3 linked regions of the Macaca mulatta genome follow. The protein of the gene in region 2 interacts with the protein of the main gene of each other region in a biochemical or structural test. Links are inferred from orthologs where the notes say so. Each region holds a gene or a part of one and is shown on either strand. Other genes may lie near its edges. The genes, in order: TAL1, EP300 and H1-1.

Evidence for each region.
Region 1: the proteins of EP300 (region 2) and TAL1 form a complex in vitro, tested with the Homo sapiens proteins (3 studies listed by BioGRID, with this or other methods). The link is inferred for Macaca mulatta from reciprocal best matches to the Homo sapiens genes EP300 and TAL1.
Region 3: of the proteins of EP300 (region 2) and H1-1, one has a biochemical effect on the other in vitro, tested with the Homo sapiens proteins (2 studies listed by BioGRID). The link is inferred for Macaca mulatta from reciprocal best matches to the Homo sapiens genes EP300 and H1-1.

Annotation. Positions count from the first base shown.
Region 1 is NC_133406.1:193,467,345-193,470,996, reverse strand, and holds part of TAL1 (T-cell acute lymphocytic leukemia protein 1), read right to left. Parts: intron 3,488-3,652; 5' UTR 3,487-3,487; coding exon 3,041-3,486; intron 1,667-3,040; coding exon 1,572-1,666; intron 1-1,571. UniProt on the Homo sapiens protein: Implicated in the genesis of hemopoietic malignancies. It may play an important role in hemopoietic differentiation. Serves as a positive regulator of erythroid differentiation.
Region 2 is NC_133415.1:10,366,102-10,369,753, forward strand, and holds part of EP300 (histone acetyltransferase p300), read right to left. Parts: intron 2,899-3,652; coding exon 2,789-2,898; intron 1,788-2,788; coding exon 1,650-1,787; intron 1,072-1,649; coding exon 634-1,071; intron 1-633. UniProt on the Homo sapiens protein: Functions as a histone acetyltransferase and regulates transcription via chromatin remodeling. Acetylates all four core histones in nucleosomes. Histone acetylation gives an epigenetic tag for transcriptional activation.
Region 3 is NC_133409.1:157,091,447-157,094,115, reverse strand, and holds H1-1 (histone H1.1), read right to left. Parts: upstream 1,183-2,669; coding exon 535-1,182; downstream 1-534. UniProt on the Homo sapiens protein: Histone H1 protein binds to linker DNA between nucleosomes forming the macromolecular structure known as the chromatin fiber. Histones H1 are necessary for the condensation of nucleosome chains into higher-order structured fibers.

The sequences.
Region 1 (3,652 bases), on a different chromosome or scaffold from region 2:
CCTTATCTGTGAAATGAAAACAGTAATTTTGCCCTCATGAGTTTGTGGTAAGGAATAAACAGAAACCAAGCACACATAGTCCATGGCACATAGTAGGTAACCAATACATGGTGGTAGCAATTCAGCAACAGGAATCCACATCAAGTCCTAACTCTAGATCTTGCATTATTTCTACTTCTATGGACTCTTTTGGGTTCAGTCTCTAATTTCAGTGTCCCCTAGACACACCCTTTACCTACATGTCTGCCTATTCCTCTGTGGTTTTTTCCAGAGAACCCCCCCGTCTCCCCACCTTCCTCTTTCCTGAATCTGTCTACCTCTCCTGGTGTCCTCTGCCTCTCTCTCTGGCCAGCACTGAGTAGATGCTTGGTAAATATTGCCAACACTTATGGGTAATGACTGCCTTACACTCCTGCACACCCCACAAACCCTCACCCCTGTGCTCTGCCTCCTCTGCCTATTGTAGAAAATGCCTCATCCCTGGGGAACTTCAGGGCTGGTCCTGTCTACTTCTTGTTTGGTACACCCACCTCTCCTACACTAGAGAACTCCCCTCTAATCTAGAGCAAGGCACCCATGCCTCTCAGCCCTGCACACCTGTGCCCCAGGCTGCTTGGGTCTTTTGAAGTCTTTTCTGTTGTCCAGACGCCAGCCCCTCTCCTTTCCAGAACACCACAGAGGGCTCCACCTCCAGCTCCATACCCATATCCCTCCCACCAGTTTGCAGCATAAATCTCAGCCTGGCTCTGAGGCCTTGGGGAGCCTTCCTACAGGAGCCCCAGGCCATAGCCAAGCTGAAGTTCTGGGAGCTTCTGGGTCTGGCTCAAAGTCCCTCAGCTCTGAAGTACCTGCTCTCCTACCCCTGGTGCTGGGACCAATCTACTATACAAGGTCAACCTTGGGAAGACAGTGAGGGTCTTCCAAATCTCCCATTTGTCCAAACCATCCCTGCAAGTTCAGGGAACATTCAAGTACCTTAAAGGAGCAGTGCCAAGGCCCTTCTCAGGGAATCCAGGGGGCAAGGTAGAATCCATGATGTCAGGAAGGGAACTCCAGGTCTTAGCCCAGAATGTGTTAATGGGAGACAAGGGGAGCCTACTGTGTAGGGTCCTTGGAGGAAACCCTTGATGACTTCATTGCAGGGAGGAAGCAGACTCCAGACTCTAAGGAAGACTTGGGAGGAAGTGCAGGGAATCCCTGAGGGTCAGTGCCTACAATGGGGGGTTTGGGGACACTGTGTGTTTCTGCGCTCACTTGGGATCCTTGCCAAAGTGTAGGAATGGAGCCTGGATTGGGGACTGGAACTAACTCCAGAGGTTTGGGCTAAGCACATTATGTGTCTCTCTTCCATGTCTCCTCTTCACGGGACTGTGAGTGTGGTCCTGCTAGCCCCACGCAGGACTTTACCTAGCCCCAGCTCAGCTGCAGAGTGAAGGGCTTCGGCAGTTTGGGTTTCGAAAGTGGCCCACCCACCTTTGTGACACCTACAGAGTAGCCTCAGATGTTCCCTCCTGCAAAGGGCTCTAACCAGCGTGAGGGGCAGATACAGCGGTGGGGTGGGGCAGACTCACCATCAGTAATCTCCATCTCATAGGGGGAAGGTCTCCTCTTCACTCGGTTGTTGGTGGTGAACATAGGGAAGGCATCCGGCTCCCCAAAAAACCCGCTGTCAGATGGACCAGGCAGATCACAAGATCCCGTGTTGCGGGGAGGGGAGAAAGAGGCTACTTAGGGATCCTCCCCACATGTGTTGAGTCCCCCACCTCTGGGCAACCCTGCTCCCTTCACACCTGAGCAGTGAATATGCTGCACACAGATACACACACACGCACGCACACGCACACACAGAATGCCCTCACTCTGTCATGAAACAAGCAAAGGGAGGAGGAGACACCTTAACCACGCATCCCCCCACACAAACACACAGGCACACATGCAGAAGCAGAGGTGAATAACACATGGAACAAACACACACACACACACTTCACAGATAGAAACACTCTCCATTCTCCTGCCTTGGAAACAAGCACACAATCCACACACACCTCCACTCCCAAACACGTGCCCACTCAGGCAAAGGTAACCTTCACACCTGATGGTGTGCATCTCTGTCACCACAAAGGGGCACACTGTCCTCTCCCCCCCTCCACCTCACCCCACCCATAAGGGGCTGTGGATACACAACAGACAGGAAACCCTGACTCCCCTTCGCTGAAATTCTCCCCCTAGCTCTCTGCCCTCACCCACTCTAAGCTCTCCGTAGCTCTGTCTCTTGGGTGCCCGCCAGACTCACTGACTGTCCCACACTCTATCCTAGCCCCATCTTCCGGATTCTATTCCAACCCTACCGCTTCTCTCCGTCATCATCACAGTGGCCCCAGCGGGGAAACGGATGCCCTTACAGCAACTGGAGTACAGGCTGGGGCCAGAGACCACAGCTAGCAGCAGAGGGGCTGGGAGTGGAGGGGCAGATCAGACCTCAGGCGGGCCCTCCAGCAGAGATTCGGGGGAGGGTGCCTCTGCCACCATCCTCATATCCTTATCTCTTGCCTGTCCAGCTAGCGCTGCGCTTCCGAATGAATTTCACACCCTCAGCCACAAACATCTACCTCTGCTCACAGCAAAGCACATGCAGGCACATTCTTTCCTGCTACCCACGCTCAGGGGACTCCCTCCTCTCCGTCCCCCACAACACCACCACCCAGCACACCAGCCACACGCTTGCACCCCCGAAGGTGTCCACGCCCTCCTGTCGGCTTCCACACAGCCATGCACCCGGCAACCACACGCACACTCTCTCTCACAGAAGGCCCCTCCCTCACTGGCACTCACGGGGGGCTCCAGCTTAAGACTCTAGAGCCCTTGGGTTTAAAATGACCTCCTCTGCCTGCGCTCCACCCGCTCGGCCCCCGGGGCAGGAGGGCAGGCCGCCTCCGCTGTGCAGAAGGGAAACCCCGGTGGGGGTGGTCGCCCTGCCCACCCGCCCCTCCCGCCCAGCCCCTGGCCCCTGGTCCCTGGTCCCTGGTCCCTGGTCCCTGACCTGCCAAGCGAGGCCAGCGGCTGGCTGAGACTGTAGAGCAGCGCGCGGCCGGGGGCGGCGGGGGCAGCCAGCGCGGGAGGACTCAGCTGCACCATGCGGCCGTCGCCGGGCAGCTCCGCTGGGGCCGAGGCGGGCGCGGGGGCTGGGGCGGGCCCGGGAGGTCTGCACAGCTCGGTGGTGGGGACCCGATGGCGCGCTTCGGCCGCCGGCGCGTCGCGGCCCTTTAAGTCTCTCGCGGCACCGCCCCCACTGGCAGGGCCGCCCCCCGGGCCTCCGCGCGCGCCCAGCTCGATGACTGGGGGCTCCGCGGGGGCCGCGCGGCTCGTCTCCTTGGCGACGCCGTTCAGCAGGACCAGGTGCGGGGGGGCCATGCGGGCCTCGGCCGCGTCCCGTCCCTCTAGCTGGGGGTCACTGTGAGCCGCCTCGGTCGGCGGCCGCTCGGTCATCCTGCGGGCAGACAGACAGACAAGCGGATGCCCGCTCTGACGACCGCCCCTGACCCACCGACGTGGGCTGGGGTAAAGGGGTGAAGGGCAGAGAGAGGAACTCACACACAGAGACAGAAGAGGCAGACAAAGTTAGCGCCACGTGGGGCTAGGGCGGGAGGCCGGG
Region 2 (3,652 bases):
AGTCTGGAGTGCAGTGGCGTGATCTTGGATCACTGCAACCTCCACCTCCCAGGTACCCACTACCACGTCTGGCTAATATTTCTATTTTTTTGTAGAGACAGGGTTGACCTGTCTCTGACCACCACGTTGGCCAGGCTGGTCTCAAACTCCTGACCCCAAGTGATCTGCCCGCCAAGGCCTCCCAAAGTGCTGGGATGAAAGGTATAAGCCACCGCGCCTGCCCAAATCTGCAATTTTTCAATTTAATCTCTAAGTTTTAAAGCTCAAACTGTTTGAAAAAGATTCTTTAAATATATGTAAAATTTATGTGTTACACTAAATAATATACTAAATAAAGAGAAGGACTGTGTCCCCTTGTCATACCCCTCTACGTACCTTCAGACCTCAGGATACAACATGAAACATAATGGTCAAAGTCAGAGCTAAATAAAATCTTTACACTCCTGCTACGTTAGGTCCTATCACAGGAATGCAAAACAGGATAAGAAAGTCCCTAATGAAAAACAGATTACACTCTACTTGTGGAGAAAACAGTAAGAGATAAAGCAAAAGAGAGTAATAGAAATGACCCAGAAATAATATAATACTACAGTACAGCTCTAATGATTCTGCCTAAATCAAATCTCTACTTACTGGAGTTGCAGGCTGTGGAGCAAGCAGCGGTGCTGTTGGGGTAGGAACAGACGCTGCTGTGCTCTGCTGTGAGCGAGGCTGCTGCTGGGGCTGGTCAGCAGAAGGTGCAGCAGGAAGTGAAGGCTGTACTTGTTGGGGAAGTTGTGTTGTTGGTGGTGTAGGTGTCTGCCTTGGAGGGGGATGTAGAGCCTGGGACTGTGGTCCAGGTGGCATGGCAGGAGGTGTAGGAACAGGGGCTGGAATTGTTGTTGCTGGTGGCTGCTGAGCCCCTATGCTTGGGGGAGTATGGTGAGGGGTCGGGGTACGACTAGGTACAGGCGAGGGTGAATTCTGATGCAAAGCTGGTTGAGGAAGCTGGGGACAGTGAATGTGGCTCCCCTGAGACCCCGGAGGCATTATAGGAGAGTTCACCGGGCAGGAAGAACTAGACATTTGTGCCTGTTAAAATAAAAAACATAAGATAGCAATTCAAAACAGAATTAAAGAAATACTTACATGGCACGTTATATGAATTTAGGACACAAACTGGTTAAACAAAGAGTAGCAATGTGTCTATTTCAAAATGTGTAAAATACCCTGTTACTGGGGATATAGCTTTGGACAGCACCATTGATACAGTATTTAAGTAAACCGACTTCAAACCACTCAGCCGAATGGCCTCAGCCACTGCAGAAAAACGACAGAATTGAGAGCACAGTGCTCTAGGGCCTGCCTATGCTCTCTTCAGCCAGAATTCCTTCTACATTGTGTTTAATTCTAAGATTTATTTAAAAGTGTTCACTACTAAAAACAAAACCATCCATTTATATTATTTCCTAATTTGTAACAATTAACACCATTGCTATGTCACAGAATAATCTCTTAAGGTTCAGAACACCCTAAGTCTAAAACTGTTATTTTTTAAAAAAATCATCTGTTTTCACCCACTATCTGCTGCCACTCTTTCCTATAAAAACCTACGTCAAGAGAAATTTCAAGAATCAAAAAAAAGTAAAAAATCCACTTATGAGACATACTTGAGACACTGGAGCTTGACCACTGGACGGAGCCAAAGGCATATTTGTTACATTCATTCCCTGTGATGGGAACTGAGTCTGAGGAAGGAACTGGCTCTGGTTGGAAGGCTGTTGCATACGAGGCCCATAGCCCATAGGCTGCAAAAAAACACAGATCACCAAACTGCTTCATTACAGTTATTCTACTATAACTAAAATCATCAAAAGGTCCTAATGTCAGGTTTATTAAGCAAAGTCAAAGACAGGAGTATAGGTGAAGAGGGCTGGAGAGGAGAAGGAAGAAAGTTATAGAACAACTGACTCTTGTGCAGAAAAAGGGAAATAGCCTCACAGTTTACCTAGGTCTACTCTCAAGAAATAGTAAGAGGATGGAACAAACACACATTCTCTTGGTACACAAATATGTCTAGCACAAGGATAGCAGGTAACTTTCTTTGCATGCTCTGTTAAGTGAGGAGAGTTAATCACAATTTCATAAGCTCATGTCAGTGATGTAGTAATAACACAAATTCTAAGACCCATAATATGTAAAAACAAGTAAAATCTTACAAGTTGTGGCAGAATCTGGTAGCATTCATGGTCCACAAATGCTCTAGCAATGCTATATTTCATTTCTAAAATTACCCTACACAAATTCAGGCCTTAAAGAAAGAAATCTCCAAAGGCAAAAAACTTCATAAGACAAGAAGGGGCCCCAAAGGGGCCAAGATTCAGAGGCACCAGCTAACTCTAAAGGGCAGCAGGAGGGTCGGGGTCAAGGTAGAGAGATGAAGTGGTTAAGAGTTCACATAAGGAGCAGAAGCCTAGCCTCTCTTCTCCGAGCTCAAGAACCAGGCAAATGCACCATCAACCTTGCAAAAAGACAGTTCTCTGCCTGGAGAAGGGAAGACAGACATCAGGGAAGAGAGGTGACCATGAAAACGCATGCAGGCCACTAAACATGGACACTCCAGGGACAAGGGCCTGGCTGTTTTCGTTTTTTGGTCAGCTTTCTAGTAGAATTAAATACAGAAGAATTACAGAAGAACTAGGAGTTATGGTCTGTTTAAATAACTGTGAGCATTTATAAATTAGGAACAAACAGGATTTTCAAAATACCAGATAAAGGCCAAAATGATTACTAAAGACGTCAAACTAACCAGGTTGAGCGCTCCAGGCTGAGCCAACTGTCCATGGTGTTGAAGAGGAGCGGTTTGCCGGGGTACGATAGGGGGCTGGGCCATGCTCATCTGGCCAAATTGATTCAAACCTGTGAATATGTGCAAAATATTAGATCTGAACGCCTTTCTGAAACTGAAGAATAAAAGACAGAATTCTTATGTCTGATTCTACATCTTTTTTTGAAACAGAGTCTTGCTCTGTTGCCCAGGCTGGAGTGCAGTGGTGTCATCTCGGCTCACTGAACGCCTCCCGGGTTCACGCCATTCTTCTGCCTCAGCCTCCCGAGTAGCTGGGACTACAAGAGCCCACCACCACGCCTGGCTAATTTTTTATATTTTTAGTAGAGACAGGGTTTCATCGTGTTAGCCAGGATGGTCTCGATCTCCTGACCTCGTGATCCGCCCGCTTAGGCCTCCCAAAGTGCTGGGATACAGGTGTGAGCCACCGTGCCCGGCCCTGATTCTGTATTTTATCAGGACTAATAAACTGGCTTTCAACCTTGTAAGTATAAATAAATATGTCTCACAGCAGTTGTAAACAGACATTATTAACAGGATCTTCAAACCGAATTTTACAAATTTTACAATCTGCTTTTTTTTTTTTTTTGAGACGGAGTCTCGCTGTCACCCAGGCTGGGGTGCAGCAGCAAGATCTCGCTTCACTGCAAACTCCACCTTCTGGGTTTAAGTGATTCTCCAGCCTCAGCCTCCCGAGTAGATGGGATTACAGGCCTGTGCCACCACACTTGGCTAATTTTTGTATTTTTACTAGAAGGCAGGGTTTCGACACATTGGCCAGGATGGTCTCATACTTGACCTCAGGTGGTACACCAGCCTCAGCCT
Region 3 (2,669 bases), on a different chromosome or scaffold from region 2:
ACAGACACCTCTCTAGCCACTGCTGCGGAGAGGGCGTGATTAAGCCATGAATTTTGCTTACTATCCCAGAAGCATTTCTTAGGACCACCCAATTTCGGAAAAGGCTACTTTAGCAATATTGACCCAAGAACGCAATGTCCGCACTTTAACCTTGCATAATAAAAAAGCCTCAAGCCTGGGACTAGGCTTCAACCTTGGTTCGTTACAGTTATGACTAATTAGCTTGGGGTCGTGAGATGCGGGACTTCGGGCTACTTAAAAAAAAAAAAAAAAAAAAGCAAAACAGGTGATCTAAAATTCGACTTTAACTCGGTGCATTTGAATTCACCTTGCTATCTTTGATAGCCTCATCTGGCAAGAATTTACTACTCAACCTATGTTAAAGTTCCTATTGACTCTCCAAGTGATTCTAATATAAATGAGGGCGTATTGCATTTGCTTGGGGGAATTTCATCTGTGTACTACAGCTCTTTTCCCGAAGTGTGTAGGTGGCTCTTAAAAGAGCCGTTGGGTTAGTAAAGTTTCCAACCGAATTTACTTTTTCTTGGGTGCCGCTTTCTTGGGTTTGGCAGTCTTTGGCTTCGTCACCTTAGCCTTGGCCGCCTTGGGTTTTATAGCCTTAGTTTTAGCAGGGCTTTTAGCTACTTTCTTGGGTTTTACAGCTTTGGGTTTTTTGGGACTCTTAGAGGATTTCCTTGTTGCCGCAGACTTTTTAGCATTTTTTGGAGTCTTGACGTTCTTTTTGCTAACCCCCGTGGCCTTTTTGGGCTTTTTAGACGCACCCGTTGCCTTGGTTTTTGCAGCCACCCTTGAAGCGCCGGGCTTGGTTTCCACGGAGGATGCCTTCTTGTTGAGTTTGAAGGAACCCGAGGCGCCGGTGCCCTTCGTCTGCACCAACGTTCCCTTGCTTACCAGGCTCTTAATACCCAGCTTAATGCGGCTGTTGTTCTTCTCCACATCGTAGCCTGCGGCCGCCAGCGCCTTTTTAAGAGCAGCCAACGACACACCACCACGCTCCTTAGAGGAGGAAGCAGCCTGCACGATCAGCTCTGACACGGAAGGGCCAGCAGGCTTTTTCTTAGTGGCCACCGCAACCTTAGCAGGTTTCTTTGCCTTCCTGCTAGCTGAAGGTTTCTCAGGAGCAGCAGAAGCGGCGGGAGCGGGAGGCGCCGTTTCGGACATGGTGACTAATACAGCACACCAAGTAAACTGGTATAAACCTGACCAAGCAGGATGCGAGAAAAAAAAGGCCCCGACTCAGCCTATTTATAGGGTGGGACTGCGCAGTGATTGGTGCCCGTCAGTGCCCGCCCCTCGCACCCTAGCGCCCCCTGCGCTCTGCAGAGGGTTTCCCCCAGTCTCAGAGAGCACCTGGGGGCCTCTAGGGCCTATGGTCCCGCTCCCCTCAACGCAAGCAAACACACCGAAAAAGCCGCTCCGATTGCCTCATTGTGAAGGAAATTGTAGGCCGACTGCCACCTAGTAACATCAGAGGGTGCCGCTTGTCTCTCAAAAAGCAGCTCTGTTTTAGGGAGTAGGTTGATGGGGAGCGGTTTGCAAATGCAGCCCCACAAGCATCCAGGGAGTTTTATTAGAAAGTTTTAGAGGTCCGTTGCCAGATATGTTAGTTTTTAATTTGCAAGAAATGTAAAATACAGTGTTTGAATAGTTGGGGAGGAAGAGGAAAGTGCGGGTTTTAGGCCGTGTTAGGGCTAGTAGTCATCAACTCGATTACATTTTCTGGCAATGTTTTAGAGCGATGTGTCTCGCGAATACCTTTCACGTCAAAGAAGAATGAATCGTAGACAACACCAGAATTCACTAACGCTGCAATTAATACTCAAACTGCAAGTGTGGAAACGTTTCTGCACTTGTAACTTACTTCCACAGTCCAATGTGGGATGCACTTCAGGAATTTCCAATGCCCTTTTCATCCATACAACATGCCCCAAATGGGTGTTAAGGTTTACAACCTGTGTTCCATGTCAGCACATGCAATGAGAGCACCATGACATGGTGAACTCATTGTTTTATTCAACAAAGATTTATGGGCCTCACAAACCTGCGAAAGGCGTTAAATGCTGGGTCCAAGAAACTGGTTCCCCGACAGGCATTCTGCTGGGGAGTTAAGTCTCCTTAGTGTGAAAACAAACGGTAAGTGTAAGCACACCCTGGGGATAAGATTTTATGGTAACCTCTCTTTAGCTTGTTTGTGGCTGTTAAGAGCATTTCAAATTATCAATAAGCTAAAACGATCTCACATTGCCAATCAGAGACTCAGCTAACGGGAGAACAAAAAAAACTATTAAATCGACATCCACTTCTACAATCCTATTCTGGATAACCCCCTAACACAGCGGAGAGTGAGGGAATGCGGTCTATTTCCGTTCGTGCTGTTGTAGTTTTTAAATAAGTCCGAACTGTGCTAAGTAACCTGAGCTTTTTCCCTTTTTCTTCAAACAACGTGTCAACCAAATAATTGTAGTAGTCCCAGATAACTATTGTACCCATCTTCTTTACCAGTGTTTCCTACGTCTATTTTATTGAGAAGCCACGCATTCAAATATTTCACGTAATTTCTTAAAACTTGGAAAATAACATTTGGAAACTATACATCTTGGTTTGACGGCTAGTCAGTTATGAAACACAGGTATATAAAATTGGAAGGT